Linked DNA regions of Macaca fascicularis. The protein of the gene in region 3 purifies or fractionates together with the protein of the main gene of each other region. This does not show direct contact. Links are inferred from orthologs where the notes say so. Each region holds a gene or a part of one and is shown on either strand. Other genes may lie near its edges.

The links.
Region 1: the proteins of HDAC2 (region 3) and APPL1 purify together in Homo sapiens (co-immunoprecipitation; 3 studies listed by BioGRID and IntAct, with this or other methods). This does not show direct contact. The link is inferred for Macaca fascicularis from reciprocal best matches to the Homo sapiens genes HDAC2 and APPL1.
Region 2: the proteins of HDAC2 (region 3) and SINHCAF purify together in Homo sapiens (affinity purification with mass spectrometry; 3 studies listed by BioGRID and IntAct, counting the BioPlex papers as one, with this or other methods). This does not show direct contact. The link is inferred for Macaca fascicularis from reciprocal best matches to the Homo sapiens genes HDAC2 and SINHCAF.

What each region holds. Positions count from the first base shown.
Region 1 is NC_088376.1:120,335,508-120,339,162, reverse strand, and holds part of APPL1 (DCC-interacting protein 13-alpha), read right to left. Parts: intron 2,804-3,655; coding exon 2,721-2,803; intron 1,980-2,720; coding exon 1,821-1,979; intron 809-1,820; coding exon 620-808; intron 1-619. UniProt on the Homo sapiens protein: Multifunctional adapter protein that binds to various membrane receptors, nuclear factors and signaling proteins to regulate many processes, such as cell proliferation, immune response, endosomal trafficking and cell metabolism.
Region 2 is NC_088385.1:33,850,138-33,853,792, forward strand, and holds part of SINHCAF (SIN3-HDAC complex-associated factor), read right to left. Parts: intron 3,580-3,655; coding exon 3,429-3,579; intron 1-3,428. UniProt on the Homo sapiens protein: Subunit of the Sin3 deacetylase complex (Sin3/HDAC), this subunit is important for the repression of genes encoding components of the TGF-beta signaling pathway.
Region 3 is NC_088378.1:17,988,026-17,991,680, forward strand, and holds part of HDAC2 (histone deacetylase 2), read right to left. Parts: intron 2,330-3,655; coding exon 2,237-2,329; intron 2,160-2,236; coding exon 2,051-2,159; intron 1-2,050. UniProt on the Homo sapiens protein: Histone deacetylase that catalyzes the deacetylation of lysine residues on the N-terminal part of the core histones (H2A, H2B, H3 and H4).

The sequences.
Region 1 (3,655 bases), on a different chromosome or scaffold from region 3:
CCCCACCTCAAAAAAAGGTAATAGAAATTTTTTTAAATGGTATTATAAACATTAATGGAAAAATAATCTGATCAGAAATATTTGATTAACATTTTAAAATAACACTGTTGTTAGCACCTACTGTATGTCAGTCATATTACATATGTTAGAATTTCTGTTCCTCACAACAATTTACGAAGTAGGGATTACAACCCCCCCCACTCACATTTTACATGAACAAAAATGGAGCTGAGAGGGGTTACAGACATTACTCTGCTGTCTGAGACCACAGAGTAAGTAATGGATCCAGAATTTGAACTTTCTGACTCCAGGTTTAGGACTCTTTCCATGAACTTGTTCTGTATTCCCCGATGCTACACAGGATTTTCAGTTCCAGTTCCCTAACATGAAATCACAGGTCTTTACTATATGACATTTCTTTGACAACCTCAAAATATCAACAAACCATTTAACCAAGTCAGAAACAAAAATTCAATATATTTCTACAAGATTAAAAAGCAATTTATCTTAATACATATGAACCTAAAATGTCCATAAAATTTCTAAACAAAAAGGAATTATCCCACATTTCAGAAGTTTAAAATATTATAGATAATTAGTAGTAGGAAAAAATACTAACTTTTTTCCATCGAAAGAGGTGATCTGAAAACAATATCGTCTGTCTTCACAGTCCACAGCCATCACTGAACAGTTGTCTATGTCCATGGCCAGGCCTCCTGCTACATCCCCACGGGCCTGACTCATTAAATTTCCACCCTGCGTGAAGTAAAACTGTCTGTCCCAGGTAGATGACACCAAGCCTGTTTTACTAAATGAAGAAAGCACATTCACTCTTTAATAACAACATACCTGAATCTCATCATCAGCTAGACACAAGATAAAGCATGTTACAAAGAACTGGCTTCCGAAAAGGCACCAAGATGCCAAGAAAATAAATATAAATATGCTTTCAGTCTCTAAAATAAATTCATGTATATTGACTCACTTTTGTGAATGTATATACAGTTTCCAAAACAAGGCTGGAAATTATCAAACTGTGGCTGTTATAATAACGATCCATAAAATACAGGTTATAGTTCAACTTCCAAGGGAGTAAATTCAAAACAATAGAATTTATTTTATTTCTAGGGTTAACCTGCTTCATCCTATCATCAGGTGAAAACTAACATTTGACTTGGTGCTATAATTACAAATATATTAAAGTATGATAAATGATATTTCGCAGCATTCTCATGTGATGATACCATATGTGAATATTTACTTAAACTCAAATTAGTTTCAGTTCATTTTTTTTTTTGAGACAAGAGTCTCACTCTGTCCCCTAGGCTAGAGTGCAGTGGCGCGATCTCAGGTCACCGCAACCTTTGCCTCCCAGGTTCAAGTGATTCTTGTGCCTCAGCCTCCTGAGTAGCTGGGATTACAGGCATAAGCCACCATGCTCGGCTAATTTTTGTATTTTTAGTAGAGGTGGGGCTCCACCATGTTGGCCAGGCTGGTCTCGAACTCCTGACCTCAGGTGATCCACCTGCCTTGGTCTCCCCCAAAGTGCTGGGATCACAGGTGTGAGCCACCACGCCCAGCCTTGGTTTCACTTCTTTTATCATTCTACATTATTCAATAAATAGCTAGGTAGGATTTTACTTCTGAAAAGTATTTACGTACCTCATCTGTCAAAAAGTTCACATAATACTAACACCTCTAAAAAGTTTCAACCTTTAATAAAAATCAAAACAATATGACAGACATCAATTATTTATTATATTCATTTGGTATTGTCTTACATGATATACAATATACAAAAATAACAATAGTTTTCTTACTTCCTAGCATTAAGGTATCCAGCCTTTCGGGTTAAATTTCGATTAACAGGAAATTTGGTGGGGTCTGGGTCAGGCACATATAAGGGATCACTGGCTACTTCCAAATCCTCTATTGTCTGTTGCATGGTCTCTATATCACTGTCCATTTCCCTGCGAACACTGATACAGAACAGATTATTTACTATAAATCACAATCAATGTAGAACTCCTTACTAATCATGTTTACCTGCATATTTGTTTTGGATATGTTTTCTTAAAGAGAGGAAATGTGGCATGCGTGGTTAAAACAACACAAATACATTTTAAAACAGGTTTACAGTTTATTTGAAACTTAGATATTTTGGAAACAATACTAAATTCAAAAAATGAATGAAGCCCCACTGAATCCCTGATTTTGGCATAATTTTCAAACTGCGCCTTTAAAACAGAGGTCCTGTGCCTTTAAAACAACAATCACTTTCATCTCTCTCCATACCGTGGACAGACCACATATATTGCTCAGCATTTTGAACCTGATGAGAACTGCTTTCTCTCTGTCTTTAAGCTTTCATGGCGTGGAAACAATATTTAGTAATCTCCCATTAAACTCCCACAATTTCAAGTTTAAAGATAATTTCACTTATGGGGAATTACTATTATGTGTCTGTTTTATTCAGACATAAAACTGAGTTTAGAATCAAATTATCACCATTAAGAAATTCGAAGTTCACAATCTATGGAAAAAAGAGGTAAAAAAAAAAAAAAAACAAGAAGTAACCATGAACCATATAAGAAACTCTCATGGCAGGGAAAATATTCACTCAGGAAATTAAATGATAAATATCTTTACATTATATCACTGAGCTGTTAAGCTATCATTCACATCATTTCATTTTCAATTTTAAGGAAAAAAATACTTACTTCTGAACGCTTGTTCCAATATTAGCTAAAAATTCTTCCAGTTGTTCATTAAGATTTTCAGAACCCATCTTAAAGAAACTTATCTGGAGAGCAGGGAGTCGGGGGAATTGAACAATACAAAAATACATTAAGCAATACTTAAAGTAAATCATATAAACAATCTCTAAGATACATGGTTAGGTAAAAAACAAAGGAATATTCCCATTTGTGTAAAAATACATTGTAGTTTGTGATTTCTACTGCACATGGAGCCATTAAGGAAGTTAGACTTAAATTCCACTACATATCCTTTTATATTTTTTGAATTGGAACAAGTAATACATATGTATGGTTAACAATCTTTTAAAATTGGAAAATAAATTTTAAAGTATTTCCAACAAATTATATAAAGTATTTCATGTTTACTACAAAGATAAGTTTTCTATCTGAGGAATAATCAGTAAAGTACTCTTTTACTTAAATAGATTCAATTTTTTGTTTTTTTTTGAGACAGGGTCTCGCTTTGTCATCCAGACTGCACAGTAACACCTCATTGCAGCCTCAGCCTCCTAGGCTCGAGGGATCCTTCCATCTCAGCCTCCCAAGTTGCTGGGACCATGGAGGCATGCTACCAAGCCCAACTAATTTTTTCAATTTTTGTAGAGATGGGGTCTCCCTACATTGCTAAGGCTAGTCTTAAACTCCTGGACTCAAGTGATTCTCCTACCTCGGCCCTACCAAAGTGCTTGATTATAGGCATGAGGCACCGCACCTGGCCTCAATTTTCTTTAAACTCTTAATTTTTAGGAGACTGACACTTTGTCTTATACTACCCAAAACAAATTTCTAGCCCCCTTCCTGATGTACCTTGGGGCACGCTGGAGTTCATCTATTATTTTTAACTCAGGAAGTATGCAAGGAATATGGGATAAACTCAAACCTGTTCATTCTCTTTC
Region 2 (3,655 bases), on a different chromosome or scaffold from region 3:
CCATTGTAGTTGTCTGTATATTCCAGATACTAACCCTTTGTCAGATATATGTGCTGGATATCATTTCATTTTCTTTATGGTGTTATTTGATGAATTTAAGTTCATAATTATAATGTAATCAAACCTGGAAGTTTTTTTAAATGCTTAGTACTTTGTCATAAAAAATCCTTTTCCACTCAAAAGTCATATTCTATTTTCTACTTTAATGCATCTGTAATTGGTATTTGTCTACGGTGTGAGGTAGGGAACCAAGCCCAGTTTTTTCCCATGAATAACCATGTTGTTTTTAATATCCTAGCAACACTTATTGAACAGACCATTTTCGCCCATCAATCACCCCCACATCATGTATCACATAACAAGTGCTATATACATATGTGGGCTTGTTTCCAGGCTCTCTATACTATTCCACTGGTTTATTTTTCTATTCCTAGTCCCAAAACACATTAATTACTATGGCTTTATAACGTCTTGATTTCTGTTAGGAAAAGTTTATCGACATCTTTCTTTTTCTTCTGAAGATGCCTATTTTGGGCCTTTTGCTTTTCTATATAAATTATAAATTAGCTTGTCAAGTTCCATAAATATGTTGGGGTTTTGACTGCAATTACCCTGAATCTACAAAGTGATAATCTCCCTAACAGTCAGTTTAATAATATCTATGAATGTGCTATACCTCTCAATTTATTTAGGTGTCTTTAAATGTTATTCAATGGCCAGGCACAGTGGTTCATGCCTATAATCCCAGCACTTTGGGAGGCCAAGACGGACAGATCACCTGAGGTCAGGAGTTCACTATCAGCCTGGCCAACATGGTGAAACCTCATCTCTACTAAAAATACAAAAATCAGCAGGGTGTGGTGGTGCACGCCTGTAATCCCAGCTACTCCGGAGGCTGAGACAGGAAAACTGCTTGAACCCAGGAGGTGGAGGTTGCGGTGAGCCAAGATTGCACCACTGCACTCCAGCCTAGGGTGACAGAGCGAGACTCACTCTCTCTCTCTCTCTCTCTGTGTATATATATACACACACACATATATATACACACACACATACATATATATATATATGAATGTTCTTCAACAATATTGTATGATTTTTACATAACTCCTCCAAAGGGTTTTTGATATTTTACTACTACATTATTTTATATTTCCTAACACTAGGGTAAAATGTATCATTCTAATGCCAAACTGCCTAGATTTAAATCCTGCTCTACTTATTGTGTAACCTTAAACAAAGTACTTCCTTCCTCTTTGTACCTCTGTTTTCACATAATGCTTCACAGAACTGTTGTAAAGACTAAGTAAGGCCAGGTGCAGTATCTCACACCTGTAATCCCAGCACTTTGGGAGGCCAAGGCAGGCAGATCACTTGAGGCCAGAAGTTCAAGACCAGCCTGGCCAATATGGCGAAACCCATCTCTACTAAAATACAAAAGTTAGCCAGACATGGTGGTGCATGCCTGTAGACCCAGCTATTTGGGCGGCTGAAATGGCAGAATCGCTTGAACCCAGGAGGCAGATATTGCAGTGAGCCAAAATAACACCACTGTACTCCAGTCTGGGCTACAGAGTGAAACTCTCAAAAAAAAAAAAGATTAAATAAATGCATATATTTAAACCATCTATAAAGTACTCATACTATGCCCTAGGCACTGTTCTAAAGCGTTTACTACTACTGGTACTACCACTATCACTGCTACTACCAATATTGTATTGGTTAGAACATTCTGTATAATGCTGAATAGAAATGGTGATAGTCAACACTCTTGATTTGTTCCTGATCATAGAGAAAATGCTTTCTTTTTATCACAGTTATGTATTATGTACTTTGGTACTTTTTGTAAGATTCCTGTTGTCTAAGTAAAAAAGTTTCCTTCTATTCCTATTTTGCTAGAAGTTTTGTTTTAAACCTTAAAGGAAAGTTCAAATTTGTCAAACTCCTTCTTTGCACCACTAAGAAGACAATACCTTTCTTTAGAACCTATCAATGTGGGCTGGGCACGGTGGCTCACGCCTGTAATCCCAACACTTTGGGAGGCTGAGACGGGTGGATCACCTAAGGTACGGAGTTCGAGACCAGCCTGACCAACAATGAAACCCCTTTTCTACTAAAAATACAAAAATTTAGCCAGGCATGGTGGCGTGCGCCTGTAATCCCAGCTACTTGGGAGGCTGAGGCAGGAGAATCGCTTGAACCCGGGAGGCAGAGGTTGCAGTGAGCCGAAATCGTGCCATTGCACTCCAGCCTGGGCAACAAGAGCGAAACTCCATCTCAAAAAGGAAGGAAGGACGGAAGGACGGAAGGACGGAAGGACGGAAGGACGGAAGGAAGGAAGGAAGGAAGGAAGGAAGGAAGGAAGGAAGGAAGGGAGGGAAAGAAAGGATGGAAGGAAGGAAGGAAGGAAGGAAGGAAGGAAGGAAGGAAGGAAGGAAGGAAGGAAGGAAGGAAGGAAGGAAAGAAGGAAAGAAGGAAAGAAAGAAACTGCTGATGTGGTAAATTATATTAGTTGATCTTCTCATGTTCAAAAACCAATCTTACATACCTAGAATAACCCTAGTGGTAGATGATGTATTGTTTTGGTATCAAATTTATATCAGCCTTAAAAATGCTTGGGGCCTATGCCCTATTTTATCCACAGTCTGGAAAAGCCAGTGCATAGGCCCCAATCATCTGTTCCTGGATGTTTAGTACAACTTGCATATTGTGGCTTTTTTTTTTTTTTTTTGAAATAGTCTTGCTTTGTCACTAGGCTGAAGTGCAGTGGTGCAGTAATAGTTTACTGCAACCCTAACCTCCTAGGCTCAAGCAATCCCCTCACCTTGGCCTCCCAAAATGCTAAGATTACAGGTGTGAGCCACCACGCCTGGCCCGAATCAATTTATTATGAGATTATCTCGTTTTTTCACTTTTTCTTGAGACAGCTTTAGCAAGATGCCTTTTTTCTAGTACTGTACCCGCTTCACCTGTATGTTCAAATTTATTGGCATAAAGTTGTCTATAATATCCTATTTTTTAAATGTCTGCTTTATCTATACCTAAGTCTCTTTTCTCTCTCCTAAAATTGCTTATGTGTATCATCATCTCCTTTTCCTGATCCACTTTATCTCTAGTACTTTTTTGGTCACGTCTTTTTGAAGGACGAACTTTTAGTTTCACTGATTCTCTCCACTGCATATTGTCTTTCTACTCCACTTATCTAGCAATAGGAAATGTAGGTACCTTGATGTGATTTTTATTTTAAATAAATTTTAATAGGAAGAACATACAAAATCCCACTTCTCTGCTCAATTCCTGCTTAATCCACTGCAATCGTGTGTTACCAACTGTTTGCCAAATGCCATTTAATTGCTAAGAAAGTAGGAAAACACTGCCTGTAATTAAGATGGTTTGCTGGTTAGAGAGATATTTTCTGTTTCTTTTACCTTTTCCAGTATGTGAGATCTAAAAAGGAAAAAACTGGTGTTCTGTTAGAACCAGAAGCCATCTCTGTATCTGAGCCGTCATCGGACTGGTTACTGTAACAAGGAGATTGAGCTGGGGAGGCACTTGAGGTGGTACTGTGAGCATCAGAATCTGCAATAAAGATTAAAAGAAAAAATAAAATTTTCAATTTCATTACATGTAATTGCAACTAAACCTCAGCATAGGA
Region 3 (3,655 bases):
TGGCGGGCGCCTGTAGTCCCAGCTACTCAGGAGGCTGAGGCAGGAGAATGGCGTAAACCCAGGAGGCGGAGCTTGCAGTGAGCCGAGATCGCGCCACTGCACTCCAGCCTGGGCGACAGAGCGAGACTCCGTCTCAAAAAAAAAACAAAAAAAACAAAAAAAAAAAGAAAAAGCTGAATCAAAGCTGGCAGTAGAGAAACTCAGAATGAAGTTTAACACTTGGGAATTACAAATATCCTTACATGCTTTATACAACTGAAACACTATTAGCTGAAATACAACGTTAATTTTTCTCTAAGAGTGAAATGATTATAAAAACTATTAAGTACAAAAACATTAAGGACTTTCATGTCTAACAGGAAAACTGATAGTTAATACACACTCTTAAGAGTACATCAGGTAGATCGTTTTAGAAAGTTTATAGGCCGGGCGCGGTGGCTCAAGCCTGTACTCCCAGCACTTTGGGAGGCTGAGACAGGCGGATCACGAGGTCAGGAGATCGAGACCATCCTGGCTAACACGGGGAAACCCCGTCTCTACTGAAAAATACAAAAAACTAGCCGGGCGAGGTGGTGGGCGCCTGTAGTCCCAGCTACTCGGTAGGCTGAGGCAGGAGAATGGCGTGAACCCAGGAGGCGGAGCTTGCAGTGAGCTGAGATCCAGCCACTGCACTCCAGCCTGGGCGGCAGAGCGAGACTCCGTCTCATAAAAAAAAAAAAAAAAAAAAAGAAAGTTTATAAACATTTTGAGGCAAAAGATGGTTATTAACACATTAAGTTACATGCTGTTCAACCACTGCTGACCTACAAAGGGACAATTAATTTAATATCATTTAACTTAATGTAGAATAACAGACTATACCATAATTCTAATACAGCTGGTATAGTAGCAATCGTAACATTAAGTAAAGAAGCTTTTAATATCTGTATTTAGTTATCCAATTCCATTAAGACCAGCAGTTGTTCTGGAGAAAGTTCTATCTGAGAATTCTCTACATCTTAGAGAATACAAAGCAGAGTATCAACTTGCTACCTAAAAGTTCACATGGAAAAAAACCTCTAAAATCATACACAAACACTCATGATAAAAATCATTTCTAACCAACAAATAAATTTTAAGATCTTATTAAATTTCAGATTTATTCTTACACCCTAGAAGTTCATTCCAGAATGGTGATATTTTGCTTTGGCCTAGACTTCCATCATATGCTGACTTCAACACGTGATCAAAATTTAGTATGTACTGCAGCACTCCTAATCTCCCACACACTTTTTATCAGGAAGCTACTTGAGAAGGCGCTCCACGAAAACATGAGAAAAAAATTAACGACAGAGAATAGAGCCACCAGGAAGAACCAATACAATAGAAAAAAAGCAGAGAACAGCTATATGTCCCGCCAGGTCTACCAAAGAGAGTCATCCAAACATGAACAGATGAGAAGGCTGTTTTTCAAGAAGGTAAAAGTGACAGAATACTCAATGGATCTGAACATATGGAGATACTGAGACACCAGTAGTTTAGCAATAAGTGGAGAGAAAACTAAGCAAATGTGAAACTTAGGAACAATTATTCGGCAAAGAAAACTTGGATAAGCTGAAAAGTGTTTAAAGATGCTGCTGTAAACACTAAATGTCACAACCAAATTCTGATTTGTAAAAAATAGAGATGTGGGAAGGGTTACAAGTATGCTGTGGGCAAAGTGGTGAGGAGAGCTAAACCCTCTTCTTCCTTAATGAGAATAATCCAATTAAGTAATAAAGTATGCATTGTTTTATTGACACTGAGTCAACAAAAACATTCGAAAATAGCTGCCTTGGGTTCAAACTACAATAAACTAAAAAACTAGTCATATATAAATGTACATATAAATCTGCCACAATGTAACAAGAATAACTCTAGTCATATATACAACAGACAAAACCCCAGGAAAAATGCAGAGTATAGTGTTAAAACAGCAGGCAAGAAATTACAATGAGAACTTTTATGGGAAGTTCTTAGGTGGAAGAAAAATCATTTTTTTTCTGGGAATACCACCCTTTGAATTGCTTACCTTTCACTGTTAGATTGAAACAACCCAGTCTATCACCAGATAATGAGTCTGCACCACACTGTAATACCACAGCACTAGGTTGATACATCTCCATCACCTTTGAGATAATCTACACACAAGATAACAAATGTTAGCATCTCCAATAACATTCTGAAATTCCATTCCAATTTTGAAAACAATACTTACAGGCTTAAATATCTGCCCATATGACTCATCATCTATACCATCTCTCATTGGAAAATTGACAGCATAGTATTTGCCTTTTCCAGCACCAATATCCTAAAATACATAAACAGATCTTAGAGAATATTCTATAACAAAAAGTTTGACATTTGCTTACTACATTTTGAAAAGACTAAAAGACTATTAAGGATCCAATTTTGAATTCATCTTAGAAGTTGAGACCGGAACAATCAAATTGAGAAAGGAAATAATAAAGAACAAATAAGTATATGCTCCAATATTTATAAACTGATTGTAAAGCACACAAGAACCATTTTCAATTAATCTGTAGTGATTATTTTTGAGAGAAAAGAAATTTAACACAAGCAGTTAAAGGCAATGAAATTACATTATTACCTTAAACCAGAAAATCCATCATAAGCAGAATATGTAAGATGGCAAGGCAACTTTATGAGTAAACCTGTGGAAAATAAATGAAGCCAAAAAACCCTGCAGGACAATCATCCGCACAATCCTTCTTGTGGTTCACAATCTGTTGGTATGAGTTTACTTATGATGAAAGAACGACCCAGACTTTCTCGAAGATTTAACAGCTACCAACTAAAGCACCAGATTTGTTCTTTTTTTTTTTTTGAGACGGAGTTTTGCTCTTGCTGCCCAGGCTAGAGGTGCAATGGCACGATCTTGGCTCACTGCAACCTCTGCCTCCCAGGTTCAAGCAATTCTCCTGCCTCAGCCTCCCAAACAGCTGGGATTACAGGCGTGCGCCACCATGCCCGACTAATTTTGTATTTTTAGTAGAGACAGGGTTTCTCCATGTTTGTCAGGCTGGTCTCAAACTCCTGGACCTCAGATGATCCGCCCACCTCGGCCTCCCAAAGTGCTGGGATTACAGGTGTGAGCCATGGCGCCCAGCATCAGAGTTGTTCTTTAATTGGACTTCAAATAAATTTTGTTTCTACTGGTTGAATGAGTATCACTCCAGGCATTAATCTCTCTCAAAAGACACAAAGGTTCCAGCTACATATACTCTTAAATGATATATACACGTATTATATATACTTATTTGTATATGTTATGCATTTGTATGTGTGCGTATGCATTTGTGTGTTATGTATTCCTAGAAGATACTGTATAGTACAGATATTACTATAAACTAGTATTTTAACTGCAATACCAAAGGATTAGGAGCGTGCCACCCTTTTTCTTCTTTTTTTTTGATGGAGTCCTGCTCTGTCACCCAGGCTGGAGTGCAGTGGCGTGATCTCGCCTCACTGCACTCCAGTGAGCCAAGATCGCCTCCTCGGTTCAAGCAATTGTCCTGTCTCAGCTTCCCAAGTTGCTGGGACTACAGGTGCATGCCACCACGTCCACCTAATTCTTTTTTGTATTTAGTAGAGACAGGGTTTCACCATATTGGTC